3 linked regions of the Sus scrofa genome follow. The protein of the gene in region 1 interacts with the protein of each later gene in a biochemical or structural test. Links are inferred from orthologs where the notes say so. Each region holds a gene or a part of one and is shown in the gene's direction. Other genes may lie near its edges.

What was found.
Region 2: the proteins of CASP8 (region 1) and DEDD form a complex in vitro, tested with the Homo sapiens proteins (2 studies listed by BioGRID). The link is inferred for Sus scrofa from reciprocal best matches to the Homo sapiens genes CASP8 and DEDD.
Region 3: of the proteins of CASP8 (region 1) and BCAP31, one has a biochemical effect on the other in vitro, tested with the Homo sapiens proteins (2 studies listed by BioGRID, with this or other methods). The link is inferred for Sus scrofa from reciprocal best matches to the Homo sapiens genes CASP8 and BCAP31.

The regions. Positions count from the first base shown.
Region 1 is NC_010457.5:104,928,132-104,933,880, forward strand, and holds part of CASP8 (caspase-8), read left to right. Parts: intron 1-3,744; 5' UTR 3,745-3,777; coding exon 3,778-4,082; intron 4,083-5,749. UniProt on the Homo sapiens protein: Thiol protease that plays a key role in programmed cell death by acting as a molecular switch for apoptosis, necroptosis and pyroptosis, and is required to prevent tissue damage during embryonic development and adulthood.
Region 2 is NC_010446.5:89,316,572-89,322,320, forward strand, and holds part of DEDD (death effector domain-containing protein), read left to right. Parts: intron 1-3,769; 5' UTR 3,770-3,833; coding exon 3,834-4,158; intron 4,159-4,358; coding exon 4,359-4,466; intron 4,467-4,777; coding exon 4,778-4,924; intron 4,925-5,543; coding exon 5,544-5,749. UniProt on the Homo sapiens protein: A scaffold protein that directs CASP3 to certain substrates and facilitates their ordered degradation during apoptosis. May also play a role in mediating CASP3 cleavage of KRT18. Regulates degradation of intermediate filaments during apoptosis.
Region 3 is NC_010461.5:124,455,380-124,459,841, reverse strand, and holds the end of BCAP31 (B-cell receptor-associated protein 31), read left to right. Parts: intron 1-580; coding exon 581-704; exon of another isoform or gene 705-1,363; coding exon 1,364-1,686; 3' UTR 1,687-2,499; coding exon of another isoform or gene 2,500-2,538; 3' UTR 2,539-2,843; downstream 2,844-4,462. UniProt on the Homo sapiens protein: Functions as a chaperone protein. Is one of the most abundant endoplasmic reticulum (ER) proteins.

The DNA.
Region 1 (5,749 bases):
ACATGAATATTAAAGATAGGACTGATTTAATTCTTACATTTAACATTCTATACAAGAGGTGTTTTTCCCCTATGGACCCCCAGATTATTTCTAAATGGCAAGTTTCTAGGTGGCTTTTCCTTTTCTGTTTAAAGTTCTCCAAGGAACATGTTACTTTTACTGTTTTAGGAAGGAGATAAATATAACAATGAATATTCTTTTAAAAATATTACTCTAACAAAGTTTCTAAGTCATGAGCTCATGCGGTAAACTTAGATCCATAAAAAAGGAAGTGCCTTTTTGGTCCTTATACTGAGGCCAGAACCTAGAGGTGGCCCGTTGTTAACGGTGTAAAATCTAGCGCAGGTGCTCATTCTTCCCAGGCACTACGACCAGAGATGTGATCTAAACAAAGGCTGAATCCCATTCCGCAGTATGTTCCGGAAAGCCTGGGTCAGAAAAGAAGCCCCTCTAGCTTTTTTCACTAAGTGTCCACTTTAGTAAGATATAAAAAATCACTTCAAACTGCATGGCCAGGCTATAGCAAGAAAAATGATACAACTGAGGTGAACTGGCTACAGAGGATGGACACCAGTTATGTAATAGCCAATGATATCCTGGCCTTGGAAATATATATATATATAAATAAAATTAATACATGTATACATCTATCACATACTATCAGAAAATGCTATTGAATATATAACAAGAGCCTTAAGAAGCTTTATTCTTCTTGTCTCAGTAATACTATTTCTATTTATTCTATTTAATTAAATATGCTCTTGTCTCAGTATACTACTTCTATTTATTCTAAGTGATAATTCTGTTAACGTAATCAGAGGTATACATGGAGATTTGCATTGTAAAATCATCCTAGATATAATCAGAGACTGGTTAGATAAATATTGTCCATTTGTATGATTACAATCTTACAGATTTTAAAATACATGTTGTAGAAAAAATAAAGACATAAAGATGTGTTTATTATCAGAGGAAAAATCCACTTGCCTCTCAGAAATATGGTGTGTTCAAATATGAGGGAACATATAGGTACATAAAATATTTGTTAAGAGAGATAGTAAGATATTAGGTATTTATCTTTGGATGATGGAATTATAGGCAATTTTTATTCACCTGTTTATCTTTTCTATATTTTCTAAAATGAATACAAGAAGCATTTTTAGCATTAGAAAAAAATAATTCTGCTGTCATTTGATTCTTTGGTTAATTTTATTCCATAAAACAATGTTTTAACAGTGGTTAGAGCCAGTTAAAAATGGAAGGACACTGGATTTAAAGGTAGTAAACAGAGCTGGGCCCAGTTCAGATTATTTCTAGGTTCATATATTGGAATAAAAATATGTCTTTACTTAGAGGTTTTAATTTAAGTACATATGCATTTAGGATAAATAATACATGCAAATGGTACACCTTCACGATGTGCAAAGGGTGTAGAATGAACAGCAAGTCTCTTTCTTGTCCACCCCGGGGCCTCCTCCAACCCTACTCCACCCCCAGGCCTTTAGTTCCTCTCCTCTGAGGCAGCCACTCTAGCAGCTTCCTGTGTGTTTTCATCAAAGATCTGTGAATACGATTGGATGTACTTTCTGAGTTAGGTTTGTTTCTTTCCAGAATTTCCTTATCTTATTGTTTTCTGCTCATGTGTATATATGTGTGTCTGTAATGACAGAAAGTCTCATTGTTTTATCTGTTTCTAAAAAATAAAAAACAGATGCATAATTTTTTTTGGTTATATTGCAACTCACTTTTTTCATTGTCATAATAACCTGTCTTGAATATCTATCCAGTTTTATTTCAGAAGATGGGGTGCATTTTCTTAGCTGTTGCATAATGTTCTGTAGTATGATTAGGTTTTTAGCCATTTCTTTATTGGAGGATATTTGGAATGTTTCTAATTGTTCAAGGTTATATCATGCTGTGGTGGGAGTCCACGTACAAACCCTGTTGAGCACACGTGTGTTTCCATTGAGTGCGATTTAAGGAATGAACTTGCTAGTTGGTTCCCTTGAATATCCAGGAGTTTTCGTTTGTTGTTTTTTGGTTTTTTTTTTGGTCTTTTTGCCTTTTCTAGGGGCTCACCCGCAGCATATGGAGGTTCCCAGGCTAGGGGTCTAATCAGAGCTGTAGACACGGACCTAAACCAGAGCCACAGCAATGCGGGATCTGAGCCGCATCTGCAACCTATACCACAGCTCACAGCAACGCCAGATCCTTAACCCACTGATCAAGGCCAGGGATCGAACCCACAACCTCATGGTTCCTAGTCAGATTCATTAACCACTGCACCGCAACGGGAACTCCTTGTTTGTGGTACTTTGAACACATGCTTTTAGTTGCTGGCTGCACATTTAAGATACCTTTCCTAAATAAAAATATTTTCATGATAATTGGTTGCTTTTGTAGTACATGATGTAGGCTCTGCAGGCTTCATGAATCTAGTGTAAACCAAAATGTATATTTCCAAGACACTGTCCTTCTGCTTTCCTAACCAAGAAAACTTGTCTAAATAATAATGTCGGTTAAAAAGGAGAAAAACGTTTTGCCCATAACTCCAAGAAGGAAATAATCAAAGATATGTACAGGATACATGAAAAAACCTCTCAATGCAATATTATTTTTAATAGTAAAGAAATGGAAAATTGCTTAAAATAAATTTTGATATCTCCACATGGTGGAAATTAAGAAACACTAAAAACATGCCCAAAAAGAATATTTATGGTAGGATAAATGTTCATTCTAAATACTAAGTGGGTAAAAACAAAAACAAAAACAAAACCCAGGTGTACATAGTTGGATGTGCAATCCGACTCTAATTTTTATATAAATGCACCTTTGTGTGTATGTGTGTGTGTGGGGGGTATATAATAATGATAACTGTGACAATTTTGTAATTTATTATATTTTCAATTTTCACCAAAATAACCCCCAGCATTCTATAATCAGGATTGGAGGAAATTGAAGTGTAATTGATTTACAATATTATATAAATTTCTGCTATATAGCAAAGCGATTTAGTGATATATGTATATATTATATATGTGCACACACACACACTCCTTTTAAAAAATATTCTCTTCCATTATGGGTGATCATAGGACATTGACTATAGTCCTCTGTGCTGTGCAGCAGGGGCTTGTTGATCATCCCCTTCATGTGTAGTCGCTTATGTCTGCGAACCTCAACCTCCTACTCCATCCCTCCAAAGATGTTTCAAAAAAAAACACCAAGACTAAAAGCATCAAAGTCTTTTGCACCATTTAAAAAAGTACATTAAAATTTACCTTTATGCTTTCATTTTAACATCAAATTTACGGAATACATGGGTCCTGGCTCACTTGATCACCACCTCAAGTGACAGTCAGAATTTGTGGTTTCATCCAAGAAAATCAGCAAAGGCATGAAGCTTAAAAAGTCAGGAGCCTTAGAGTTCCCATCATGGCACAGCGGAAATGAATCCGACTAGGAACCATGAGGTTGCGGGTTCAATCCCTGGCCTCGCTCAGTGGGTTAAGGATCCGGCGTTGCTGTGAGCTGTGGTGTAGGTTGCAGACGCAGCTCGGATCTGGTGTTGCTGTGGCTCTGGTGTAGGCTGGCAGCTACAGCTCTGATTCGACCCCTAGCCTGGGAACCTCCATATGCCACTGGTGCGGCCTTAAAAAAACAAACGCGCTTGCGCACACACACACACAACAGTAAGTGGTAGTTTTCTTCCTCATCTGAACATAACAATGCGTTTTGACCTAGGTTACAACTACATCCTCCTAACGCTTGAGCAGCATGAATTTCAACAGATGTCTCTATAATATTGGGGAACATTTGGACAGTGATGACCTGGCTTCCCTCAAGTTCCTGAGCCTGGACTACATCCCACATAGGAAGCAGGAACCCATCAAAGATGCTCTGATGTTATTCCAGAGGCTCCAAGAAAAGAGAATGTTGGAGGAAAGCAACTTGTCCTTCTTGAAGGAACTGCTTTTCCGAATGAATAGACTGGATCTTCTGATCAATTACCTGGAAACCAATGAGGAGGAGATGGAGAGTGAGCTTCGGATACCAGGCAGGGCCCAGATCTCTGCCTACAGGTGGGGAGAACGTCCATGGTGTGGACCTGGGAGGTGGGGGTCGAATGAACATATCTTTAGGGGCCTGGCTGAGGCTGTGTGCAGGCTGTGTGTGTGGTGTGACTTTGAACACTGCAAAGATGTCCCATCAGGGCCACAGGAAGAAATTTGGAGGGAGTTTCTGTGGTGGCATATTGGTAACGAACCCAACTAGTATCCATGAGGATGTGGGTTCAATTCCTGGCCTTGCTCAGTGGGTTAAGGATCTGGCATTACCGTGAGCTGTGGTGTAGGTCACAGACGCTGCTCCGATCCCTTGCTGCTGTGACTGTGGTGTAGGCCGGCAGCTGCAGCTCTGATTTGACCCCTAACCCAGGAAGTTCCATAGGCCATGGGTGCGGCCCTGAAAAAAAAGGAAAAATAAATTTCCATGTTCTTTTAATGATACCAGTCACTGGATTAGGGCCATCCTAATCTGCTGTGACCTCATCTTAACAAGATTACATTCACGGAGACTCTTTTTCCAAATGAAGTCACATTTACACATACCAGGTGGACATGAATTTGGAAGGAGAGTGGGGAAGGTTATTATTCAATCCAGGGTAACTTTGGTTTAATAGAATTGTACAGTCCTTATAATGAAAATCTTTTCATTAAGGCACCAACTAATCATAAAAAACAATGGCTCCATAATTAGGAAAGCTGGAGGGTCTCGTCTTGGTCTTCTGAAGGTGGCACTCCTGCCATGTGAGCAAGGCCAAGGCAAACTGCCAAAGCAGAGGACATGGGCCTCTGTTAGAGGGTTAAGAGACTCTAACAAGGGCAGGAGCTGTCTGTTAAAATCTTCAAGACAGAACACTAAACCAACTATAATGGAAAAAGTAAAAATCATTAAAAAAAAATCTTTGACATGTTAGCTTGGGAGCAAAAGGGTCAGCACAGATACAATCTACTGCTTGTTCAACATTGTTGAATATTTTCCAGGAAATGAGAAATATGCTAGTGTGACCATTTTCCAGTTATAAGAAAACACTAGACAATTAAAATTTCAAAGTATCAGAGTTCCCGTTGTGGCTCAGCAGTAACAAACTGACTAGGACCCATGAGGATGCAGGTTTGATCCCTGGCCTCACTCAATGTGTTAAGGATCTGGTGGTGTTGTGAGCTATGGTGTAGGTCACAGACAAGGCTCGGATCCCACATGGCTGTGGCTGTGGCTGTGACTGGCAACTGTAGCTCCAAGTTCGACCCCTAGCCTGGGAACTTCCATAAACTGCAGGTTTGGCATTAAAAAATTTTTTTTCAAATTATCGTTGCTACCTATAAAATCATTACCTTATAAACCATCCAGGTTTCTTTCTGGACAATGATGGTACAGAAATGTCAGCAGATGTCAGTAATGCGAGATGTAGAAAGGCAAGATGTCTTGTGATAAGGTTAAAAGGGGAGATAGCTTTTGATTGGACCCAATCTTGGCCAAACTGAGAAAACATCACAGAACCACTTCTAGGGCAGAGATTTTCTGAGAAGGATGGAGTGGGTGATAATACTGAGTAACCGCTGCTTCTACACTGCAGTTGATCATTGAACAACATGGGAGTTGGGGGTGAGGACTCTCTGCACAATTGGAAACCCACTTATAACTTAGAGTCCACCCCTGTATCTTAGGTTCCACATTTGCAGATTCA
Region 2 (5,749 bases), on another chromosome or scaffold:
AGACAGTGTTCCATAGGCGTACAGAAGACGACTTATCCCAGCATGGGGGTGTAGAGAATGAATTTGAAGATGGCATCTGAGCTGATTCTTAAAGGATGAGTAGGAGTTAGCCATCTGAAAAAGGGTGGTGATGGGGGATGTGGAAGAGAAGGGAGAGGGGCATTAAGGCAGAGGGAATAGTCTGAAGAAAGTTGCAGAGAAATGAACTGCATGATGTATGTGAACTACAAACAAACCGATAATGTTAGAGAATAAAAAGTTATGAGGTGGGCAAAGCAGGCAAGACCTGTTCTTGGAAGGCTGGTGTGTTGTGTAAGGAGTTTGGAGTGTTCTCATAGGTAAGGAGGGAACTCTAGGTAGGTCTTAAGCTGAAAAATGGTGTAGTCATTTCGAGGCCAGGGATTGAACCTGTGCCTCAGCAGTAGCCAGAGCCATGTCAGTGTAAATGCTGGATTCTTAACCTGCTGAGCCACCAGTGAACTCCACTTATGCATTTTAGGTAGTTAATTCAGCTGGATGTGGGGGATGGATTTAAGCAGGTTCAGATTGGTGGTAGGGAGAACCCTTAAAGAGTAATCCATGTAAGAAGGAGTTCCCGTCATGGCACAGAGGAAGCAAATCCGACTAGGAACCATGAGGTTGCAGGTTTGATCCCTAGCCTCGCTCAGTGGGTTAAGGATCTGGCATTGCCATGAACTGTGGTGTAGGTTATAGATGAGGCTTGGATCTGATGTGGCTGTGGTGTAGGTCGGCAGCAACAACTCCAATTAGACCCCTAGCCTGGGAACCTCCATATGCCATGACTGTGGCCCTAAAAAGCAAAAAAAAAAAAGTAATCCTGGTGAGAGATTATTGGGACTTGAACCAGGCTGGTGGTAGTAGAAGTGGAAAGGTGAGGTAGATTTAAGAAATATGTAGGAGTAGCATCAACAGGAATTTTAATTGGGAGTTCCCATTGTGGCTCAGTGGGTTAAGAACCTGACAGAGTATCTGTGAGGATGTTGGTTCAATCCCTGGTCTCGCTCAGTGGGTTAAGGATCTAGTGTTGCCACAAGCTGTGGCATAGGCCACAGGTGTGATTCGGATCCAGCGTTGCTGTGGCTGTGCTGTAGGCCAGCTGCTGCAGCTCCAATTCAGCCCCTACCCCAGGAGCTTTCATGTGGCTCAGGTGTGGCCGTAAAAAGAAAAAAAAAAAAAAAAAGCCCAGGAATTTATAATTGATTGGTGATTGAAGCTTGTGGTCAGAAGGTGGAGCAGTATTGGGAGGTACTCTCTGGTGGGGCAGTAAATATGGAGTGGCTGGAGTGGAGGTGAAGGTTGTTGGACTTCAGGATTGGTTATTGGCTGGGTCACTGACATTGCTTAAGGTGATGGGGGAAATTTGTGACTCAAATGCCAAAATAATATAATAAATATAAGATTATGATTGATCATTGACAGGGGATTGGTAAATGACAATCATGAGGAAAGGTTAGAAGATGGCATATCCAAATGGTGTGTGAATATCAGGGGAGTAGAGATGGCATAGGAGAATTACAAGAATGTTCAACATAGGAGCTTAGTAATGTTTGTTGATTTAAATCCATGAGCTTTGGTGGATATTTGATGAACTTTCTGAGCAGTTATTTCTCTGGACTTGATTGTAGGAACAATGAGGGTACGTTTTTGGCGGGATGAATCTGGGCTGCAGAGGCCAAAGGATGCTTATCTCATTGAAATTGCCTAATCATTTAGAGGAGGTTTGGAGTGGTTTCACATGCATTTTCTCGTAGGATTCTTAACAATTCTGAGTAGTTTCTTTCAATCCCTGTTTTGCAGATGGAGGCAATGAGACTTTTGAGCTGACTTGCCTAAGGTTACACAGTTACACAGTTTGTTAGTTGAAGGCAGAATTGAAGCTTGTTCTAACCCCAAAGATTTTCAGTTTTCCTGCTTTCAGTCCCCAAGTTCATCTGATGGAGCTTCTATATTAGAATTAAGAGTGAATTCTTGGGGAGTTCCTGTTGTGGCGCAGTGGTTAACGAATCCAACTAGGAACCATGAGGTTGCGGGTTCGGTCCCTGCCCTTGCTCAGTGGGTTGATGATCCGGCGTTGCTGTGAGCTGTGGTGTAGGTTGCAGACGCAGCTCAGATCCCGCGTTGCTGTGGCTCTGGCATAGGCCAGTGGCTACAGCTCCAATTCGACCCCTAGCCCGGGAACCTCCATATGCCGCGGGAACGGCCCAAGAAATAGCTAAAAAGACAGAAAAAAAAAGGGGGGGGTGAATTCTCTACTTTCCAATTTCGCCTATATTTAAGAGATGGGGAGTTCTCTTTGTGGTTCAGTGGGTTAAGGACCTTATGTTGTCTCTGTGAGGGTGCAGGTTTGATCCCTGGCCTACTCATTAGGTTAAGGATCTGGCATTGCCGCAAGTTGCAGCATAGGTGGCAGATGCGACTGGGATCTGGCATTGCTGTGGCTGTGATGTAGGCCGGCAACTGCAGCTCCGATTTGACCCCTAGCTTGGGAACTTCCTTACACCATGGGTACGGCCACAAAGAAGAGAAAAAATAAAATTAGAAGAGATGGCTTGGAGTTTCCCTTGTGGCTCAGAGGTAACAAATCCAACTAGTATCCATGAGGATAGGGATTTGATCCCTGGCCTCACTCAGTGGGTTAAGGATCTGGTGTTGCTGTGAGCTGTGGTGTAGGTCACAGATGTGGCTTGGATTCCACGTTGTTGTGGCTGTGGTGTAGGCTGGCAGCTGCAGCTTTGTCAGCCCCTAGCCTGGGAACCTCCATATGCCATGGATGAGGCCCCAAAAAGACAAAAAAAAAAAAAAAAAAAAAAAAAAAAAAGGAGAGAAATGGCTTTGATTGGGTGCTGTCAGGGAGCACATAGGGACCAAAAGCAGTATTTTGGAGGCCAGAGGAACAATCAGGGTAACATTTAAAAGCAACTTCTGCTGAATACGGAGCACTAAGATTGCAATGAGGGAGTTCCCGTCGTGGCGCAGTGGTTAACGAATCCGACTAGGAACCATGAGGTTGCGGGTTCGGTCCCTGCCCTTGCTCAGTGGGTTGACGATCCGGCGTTGCTGTGAGCTGTGGTGTAGGTTGCAGAGGCAGCTCGGATCCCGCGTTGCTGTGGCTCTGGCGTAGGCCAGTGGCTACAGCTCCGATTAGACCCCTAGCCTGGGAACCTCCATGTGCCTCGGGAGCAGCCCAAGAAATAGCAAAAAAGACCAAAAAAAAAAAAAAAAAAATAAGATTGCAATGAAAAGTCTCACTTAGTGGAAGTGACTCTTTCTCTAGTAGGATCTGGACTTAGGGCAGCATCTGTTGGATATGTTGAGTTCTAGGCTTTATTTTTTATTCATTTTTTTGTCTTTTTGCCTTTTCTAGGGTCGCTCCTACGGCATATGGAGGTTCCCAGGCTAGGGGTCTAATCAGAGCTGTAGCTGCCAGCCTACGCCAGAACCATAGCAATGCCAGATCCGAGCCGTGTCTGTGACCTACACCACAGCTCACAGCAATGCCGGATGCTTAACCCACTGAGCAAGGCCAGGGATTCAACCTGCAACCTCATGGTTCCTAGTAGGATTCATTAGCCACTGAGCCACGAAGGGAACTCCTAGGCTTTATTTTTTAATAAACACTTTGTAAAAGTTAATAAACACTAAAGCATTACATTGTGCCAGGCATGGGTTAGGCTCTGGGAACAACAGGAATGGATAAGACTAGTTCCCGATATTAAATGGCTCACAGGTTCTCTCCTTGTCCTTACAGTATAGTGGGGATTGTGGCTGCTGAGCAGGGATTCTGGAAAGCTTTGTGCACCTGAGCCCCCAGCATGGCGGGCCTAAAGCGGCGGGCAAGCCAGGTGTGGCCAGAAGAGCACGGTGAGCAGGAGCATGGGCTGTACAGCCTGCACCGCATGTTTGACATCGTGGGCACCCATCTGACACACAGAGATGTGCGAGTTCTTTCCTTCCTCTTTGTTGATGTCATTGATGACCACGAACGTGGCCTCATCCGAAATGGACGTGACTTCTTATTGGCGCTGGAGCGCCAGGGCCGCTGTGATGAGAGTAACTTTCGCCAGGTGCTGCAGCTGCTGCGCATCATCACTCGCCATGACCTGCTGCCCTACGTCACCCTCAAGAGGAGACGGGCTGGTGAGGGTGCACTGGGGGCTGGGGACACTCGAATCAGGGAAGAGTTGTGGGAGGCCAGGAGTGAACAGCATAGTCCAAGCAGGAGGAGGTACTGACCCTGGGGATTACCAAGGAGAATAAGTTATGAGGCCCACTGGAGAGTTGGACTAGGAGAAAGGAAGGGTGTATCTTTTTCTGAGTGAGCCTCTCTCTCCCTACAGTGTGCCCTGATCTCGTAGACAAGTATCTGGAGGAGACATCAGTTCGCTATGTGACACCCAGAACCCTCAGTGATCCAGAACCGAGGCCTCCCCACCCCCCTAAAACAGGTGAGCAGATAGTAATTCCCCCTAATTTCCATCATCAACAAGGAAGACACTGGACCCATCATTTTTTCAGCTTTGCCAGCCTAAGTGAAAGGACACTGTCCCCTCCCCCCACATCTGGCCCCATAAAAATCAGATGGGGGTGTTAATGCTTCACTAGTCCTTTACTTATTCCCACATATCCACCTTTCAGGTAATATTATTGATACTCCTTTAAGTGCTAAGTCGAAACGATTCTTTCTTCATTCCAAGTGAAGTGTTTGAATTTCTGCTTTTACCCTACTGAGTCTTCTCCCTTTTTACCCTCTGGTCAGTGCCTCCCCACTATCCTGTGGTGTGCTGCCCCACTTCGGGCCCTCAGATGTGTAGCAAGCGGCCAGCTCGAGGGAGAGCCACACTTGGGAGCCAGCGAAAACGCCGGAAGTCAGTGACACCAGATCCCAAGGAAAAGCAGACATGTGGTAAGGAAGTTCAAGGATTCCAGAGGTGGAGTGAACTTGAGGGGAAATACAGAGAACTGCCAGGATGCTGGGCAGTGTTTATGCTATTCAGTGCAAGGCTTGCTTTGCTTGCAGTTGCAAAGTAAGGTTGAGTGGTATAGTCTCTGGGAGGAGAATTCCTCTATCTTTGTGGCAGAGTATATTTCAATTTTTTCTGGGTAATACTAGATGAAAGGGATGCCATTATGACATCCTTATTGTAGGATGACCCAAATCATGATAGGGTATTAAAGTGAACTTCTGTGTTTGTTAATTAGGAAAATATCTTCTAGAATCAGGTGCTACTTGTGAGTGATGGAAATAATCTGGGCATGGCCCATTTAAGGGAACCTCTCTGAGTTAAGGCAAGGATTTCAGAGATACATAAAAAAGAACTAGTCCTCATTGTGAGTCAGCTATACTAAAAAAAAAAAAAATTAAAAATTAAAAAAAAAAAAGAACTAGTCCTGGGGAGAGGTAGAAAAGCTGTCAGTTGGTGTTCCCAACTTCGCTACTCTGCTGTTCTTTTCCACCTTTCAAACTTGGGTGTAAACTCAGCCCTTCACTGCAACCTCTTCTCTATCTCTTCTCTTCCCCACAGACATCAGGCTGCGAGTTCGGGCTGAATACTGCCAGCATGAGACTGCTCTACAGGGGAATGTCTTCTCTAACAAGCAGGACCCACTTGAGCGCCAGTTTGAGCGCTTTAACCAGGCCAACACCATCCTCAAGTCCCGGGACCTGGGCTCCATCATCTGTGACATCAAGTTCTCTGAGCTCACCTACCTCGACGCATTCTGGCGCGAC
Region 3 (4,462 bases), on another chromosome or scaffold:
GCCCTGGGCTGTGAACATTGGGCAAGTTAGCACAGAAGAACACCAGAGAAGGATTGCTATCAGCCGGGGACGAGGCGGGGCAGTCCTAGAAGGCTTGTCGCAGGAGGTGAGGTGTGAGCCAAGCTGGGAAGGAGACGGATGGCCTTGGATTCGTAGGCAGGATAGACTTGGACGGGTAGGGGCGAGTTCAGGGCCCTTTGGCCGGAGGGAGCTGTGAAGCTTGGAGAGGGGCAGGGAGGGCAATGGTCAATTGGGGGCGACTGGCAGAAATCCCCAGATGACAGCGGATTGAGTCACTGGATGGACTGGTAAACTCCGAAGAGCTGCTGAGAAAGGAGGCAGGGCGTGTGGCCTCCGAGCTGCAGCAGGTGGCCCTGCTGGCCCTGGGCTTTGCCTGGTGGCTGGAAATAAGCAGTGGCCCAGTTCTGCGCTGACATTTCCGAAGGGGCAAGTGCCCAGGGCCGCTTGAGGAATCCCTGCGAGGCCAAGGCCGAAGACAGAGCTGGAGCCCCCCCTCCCCTCCCCTTCCTCCCCCCTCCGCCTCCCCCCCCAGTAACCCCGCCCTTGGCGCTCTTCCCAGGAAGCTGCTGTGGGCGGAGTCAAGTTAGATGGCGGCGACGCAGGAGGGAAGGTGGAGGAAGAGAACAGGAGCCTGAAGGCTGAGCTGAAGAGGCTGAAGGAAGAGCTGGCCGTCAGCAAGCAGAGTGAGCACTGTCCTCGGGTCACGCCCGGCCCCCAGAAGTCTGGAGCCTGTGCCAGTGGCTGCCGCACTTCTCATGCCGAAGTATCAATGAGAGACACGCAGGGGCCAGGAGCGGGGTGGAAACAAGCAGATGGCCCCTGCTCGGCCAGCCCCAGTGCAGCCGGGCTCAGCCCCAGCCGGTGGGGCTTAGTGGTTCCTCGGTGCAGGCAGGGTCCCCACCGGGGAGCCCCAGAGGCCACGTCCAGAGTGTCCCATGCAGCGCCCGGCGAGGAGTGGCGTTGTGCCCCGTCGCCAGGGGCCTGGCGGGGTGGGGAAGGAGAGCCTCAGTCAGAGGTGCCTCCTCCTCTGACCTGGGCATTTCCGCAGCGTTTGTCCCAGGCCGGCAGCTTCCCTGCGATCCCACCCCCTGCTGAGAGGCATGTCCGTTACAGGGGCTGGCGGGGATCCTCCATGTTTTCCCGCTTGCCACAGCCTTGTCGGCCAGCCCTCTGCCACTTTTGGAGGCTCTCAAGGCAGCTTTCTTGAGCAGAGTGGTCTCCCAGGCACCCTGGCTGGGGACAGATTGGGGGTGGCTGCACCTGCTCTCTCCAGCAAAGGTTCCTTTTCCCCTAATCCTAATCTTTGAACGTTCCTCCCTTTCACTGCTCGCATTGTCCACAGAGCTGGAGAAGGCTGAAAACGAGGCTCTGGCCATGCGGAAGCAGTCGGAGGGCCTCACCAAGGAGTACGACCGCCTGTTGGAGGAGCACACAAAGCTGCAGGTCAGCACGCCGCCGCCGCCTGCCCTGTTGGAACGGGACCCTGCCCCACCCCCCGAGCGGGCGCAGAGCTGGCTGCCCATTCTCTCTGCCTCGGGGCGGACCTGTCCCTGGGAGAGGCCTCGGCAGCGGGCTGGCTGCTTGCTCTCTCCCCCAGTCCCCCTTTTCCCTCTTGCTGCTGAGTCTGGTGCCAGTCTGGGTCCAACAGCCGGAACGCTTTCTTGAGCAGGAGGGCTTGTGGCCTGGTAGGGGGCAGCTGCTAACGAAGGTGGCCTTGGTAGCTGGGCCCTAGCCTCGTGCCCAGCATCAGTGCCCCCTTGAGCAAAGCTCCTTTCCTTGGGTACAGTTCTCGTCCCGCGTACACCGCAGGGGAAACGCCAGCCCCGGCTGCTGGCTTCCCGCTGTGGGGGCTGTGGGGGCTGTGGGGTGAGGTGGGGCAGAGAGCTCCAGGCTGCGCTGCTGGTCACAGCCTCCACCTACACCGCCAGGCCCCTCAGACTACCTGCATCCGGAAGCTTGGGTGGCCTGGAAATGGGGCGTGAGGGCCCAGCAGATAGACACCCCTAGGTTCTGACAGCTCGCCTTGGTGCCTGGTGGCCCAAGTTTGGGCACCATGGAGGGCGGAGAGGAGCTGACAGCTTCAGCGCAGGGCAGGCTCCCCAGCGGGACCTGTGCAAGGTGTGCAGAGTCGGAAAGAGCCTGAACTGGGACTTGGAAGGGACTCAAATGCCGAGGTGCCCTGGGGACGAGGGTGCGGGCGAGGGAGGCCCAGGAGGTATTGCTGCGAGGGCGGGGCTCTAAGAAAAGAGTGACAGCGGAGGCTTCCAGCTGTGCCCCCTCCCACTGGAGTGGGGCCATTCCTACCCTGGCAGGCCGTGGGGTGCCGCTGAGGGTGGGGTCCCTCGCTCACCTGGCTACCTGGCATTTGGGGAAAGGCGCACCCTGCTGGGCCTCCCTGTAGGGTGGCGGGGCTGGAAGGCGAAGGGGAGGAGGGCACCCTGCCAACCCACTGCTTTGCAATTTCTGTCCCCTTTGCAGGCGGCGGTAGATGGCCCCACGGACAAGAAGGAGGAGTGAGGGCCCCTGTTCCCTGCCCGTGGCTGGCTGCTTCGCGAGAGCCCAGCCTCCCTCGGCACTTCGGCTCGCTCCCCTCCGCTGCTGTTTCCCCGCGCTGCTTGCAGTTCCACGCGCCCCCAGCATTCTGTAGGGGACCCAGTTCCCGTCCAGGATGAGCAGGGCTTGCTTTCCGCTGGATTGAGCCCCTTTGTGTTACGTGTTGCTGTTCGCGCCTCCAAGGCCCCCTTTCTCTGGTCCTGCAGGAAGGCAGATGGAGCAGGAAGAGTAGAGGTTTCTCGGGGCAATAAAGGTTGTTGTGATGTGTTCGTGGTGCGTGTGTGCTTGTGTGTGTGTGTGTGTGTGTGTGTGTGAGAGAGAGAGAGAGACTGGGGCCGCGAGGAGGCCGCCTTGTGCTCCCTCTCCCCGCAGTGGCCGGGAGGCGGCGGCCGGCAGCTCTGACGGAGGACCCCCGCCCCAGTCTTGGCTCTGGAGGGCCGTGTTTTGTCCCCATTTGCTCTGACCCCAGAAGCGTCCCTCATCTCAGGCTAGGCACAGGCTCGCCCTTGGCCTCTCTGCCCCTCTGCCTCCTGCTCCCCTGCCAGGCCCCGCGTTACAGCTCCATGGGGCGGGTCTGTCCTTTCCGTCTCCCTGGGGGTTGGCCGCTGGGCCCGGGGGAGCTTGGGAGACCCGGTGAACCAGTGGCGCTTCCGGGTGGCAGGCTCGCCTGTCTCCTCTGGGTCCCGTTCATCACATTTAGGACAGATAGAACGTGGCAGAGCGCCACCAGTCACTCCCTGCCCCCCCCCCGAAGGTTTTACAGGATGACCTCTGACTAATGCTGGCTAGGAGAGGAGACTCGCCCTTGGCAGTGACCTACGACTGGCCCAGGGCAGAGCTAGGCTGTGGAGAGGGCCTCCAGACGGGGTCAAGGCCGCCCCCCCACCCCCGCCGCCTGTAGCCTCTTAAACGTGTAGGTGCGCTCCCTGCTCACAGCCTCCCCCTGGGCGGCCCCCTAGACCGGCCTGGGTCGGGGGGCCTTGAGGACGGGGCCGGGGGCTGGGGACCAGGTTGGAGGTGTTCGTGTAGAGTTGGGGGGTTCCTGGGGATGGCGGTGGTGCTGACAGTCAGCTGTGCGTGCTGCCCCTCCTGCCAGCTGCAGGCTGAGGGCTCCCTTCGCCAGTGTCCTTTGCCCACGTTCTCACGAGGGGTGCCGCCCCTTTCTGGGCTGCCTACTGGGTGGTGTCTGCCGGTTGCTATGCTGAGGCTGAGGGCTAGTCCCACTTTTCCAGGAAGTGTTCCCCGACTACCTCGGCCTCCCCAAGCTCTCCCTTCCCTGAACCTCTGCGGGCCAAAGTCCAGACTGCCTGCAGGTTCTTCTCTGGCCAGCCCCGAGTCCCCCTGAACCCCGTCGGTGTCAGGCCTCGGCCTGGGCGGAGGGGAAAAAGCGGCCCCAGGCCACTTCTGGAACACCCTGTCTGGCCGGGGGCCGGAAGAGACAGCGGCAGAGGCTCAGCAGACTCTTGAAGGTGCAAAGCCTAGACTGGCAGGCCGCCTGCAGGAGCTGGCCCCCTCTGGCCCATCCTGAGGGCTGTTTTCCTCCAGCTGCGTCCGCTCTGAGTGGGACCGCGCCCCCACTGTCCCCCACAGCCTCCGCCGTCGTGCCCCTGGCTCTAGTGACCCTGTGGCCTGCGCTGATCCTTCCCTTGCCCGTCTCTCCTGTTAGACTACAGGGCCCTGTGTCCTAAGCTCCTCCTGCAGGGACAGATGCCCAAGGAAACGGTGCCTGCCTACGGCTCTCAGGGCCCTGACCGAGCAGCGTGATCTCTCTTAAGTTCCTTTTTTTGTGAGGGTGATGTTTTCTGAGTCTTTGGTGGCCTCGTGGCAGGTGGCTTGGAGGACAGTTGACAAGAGGTGACGACCTGCGTCCAGGCATGGCTGAGGTCGG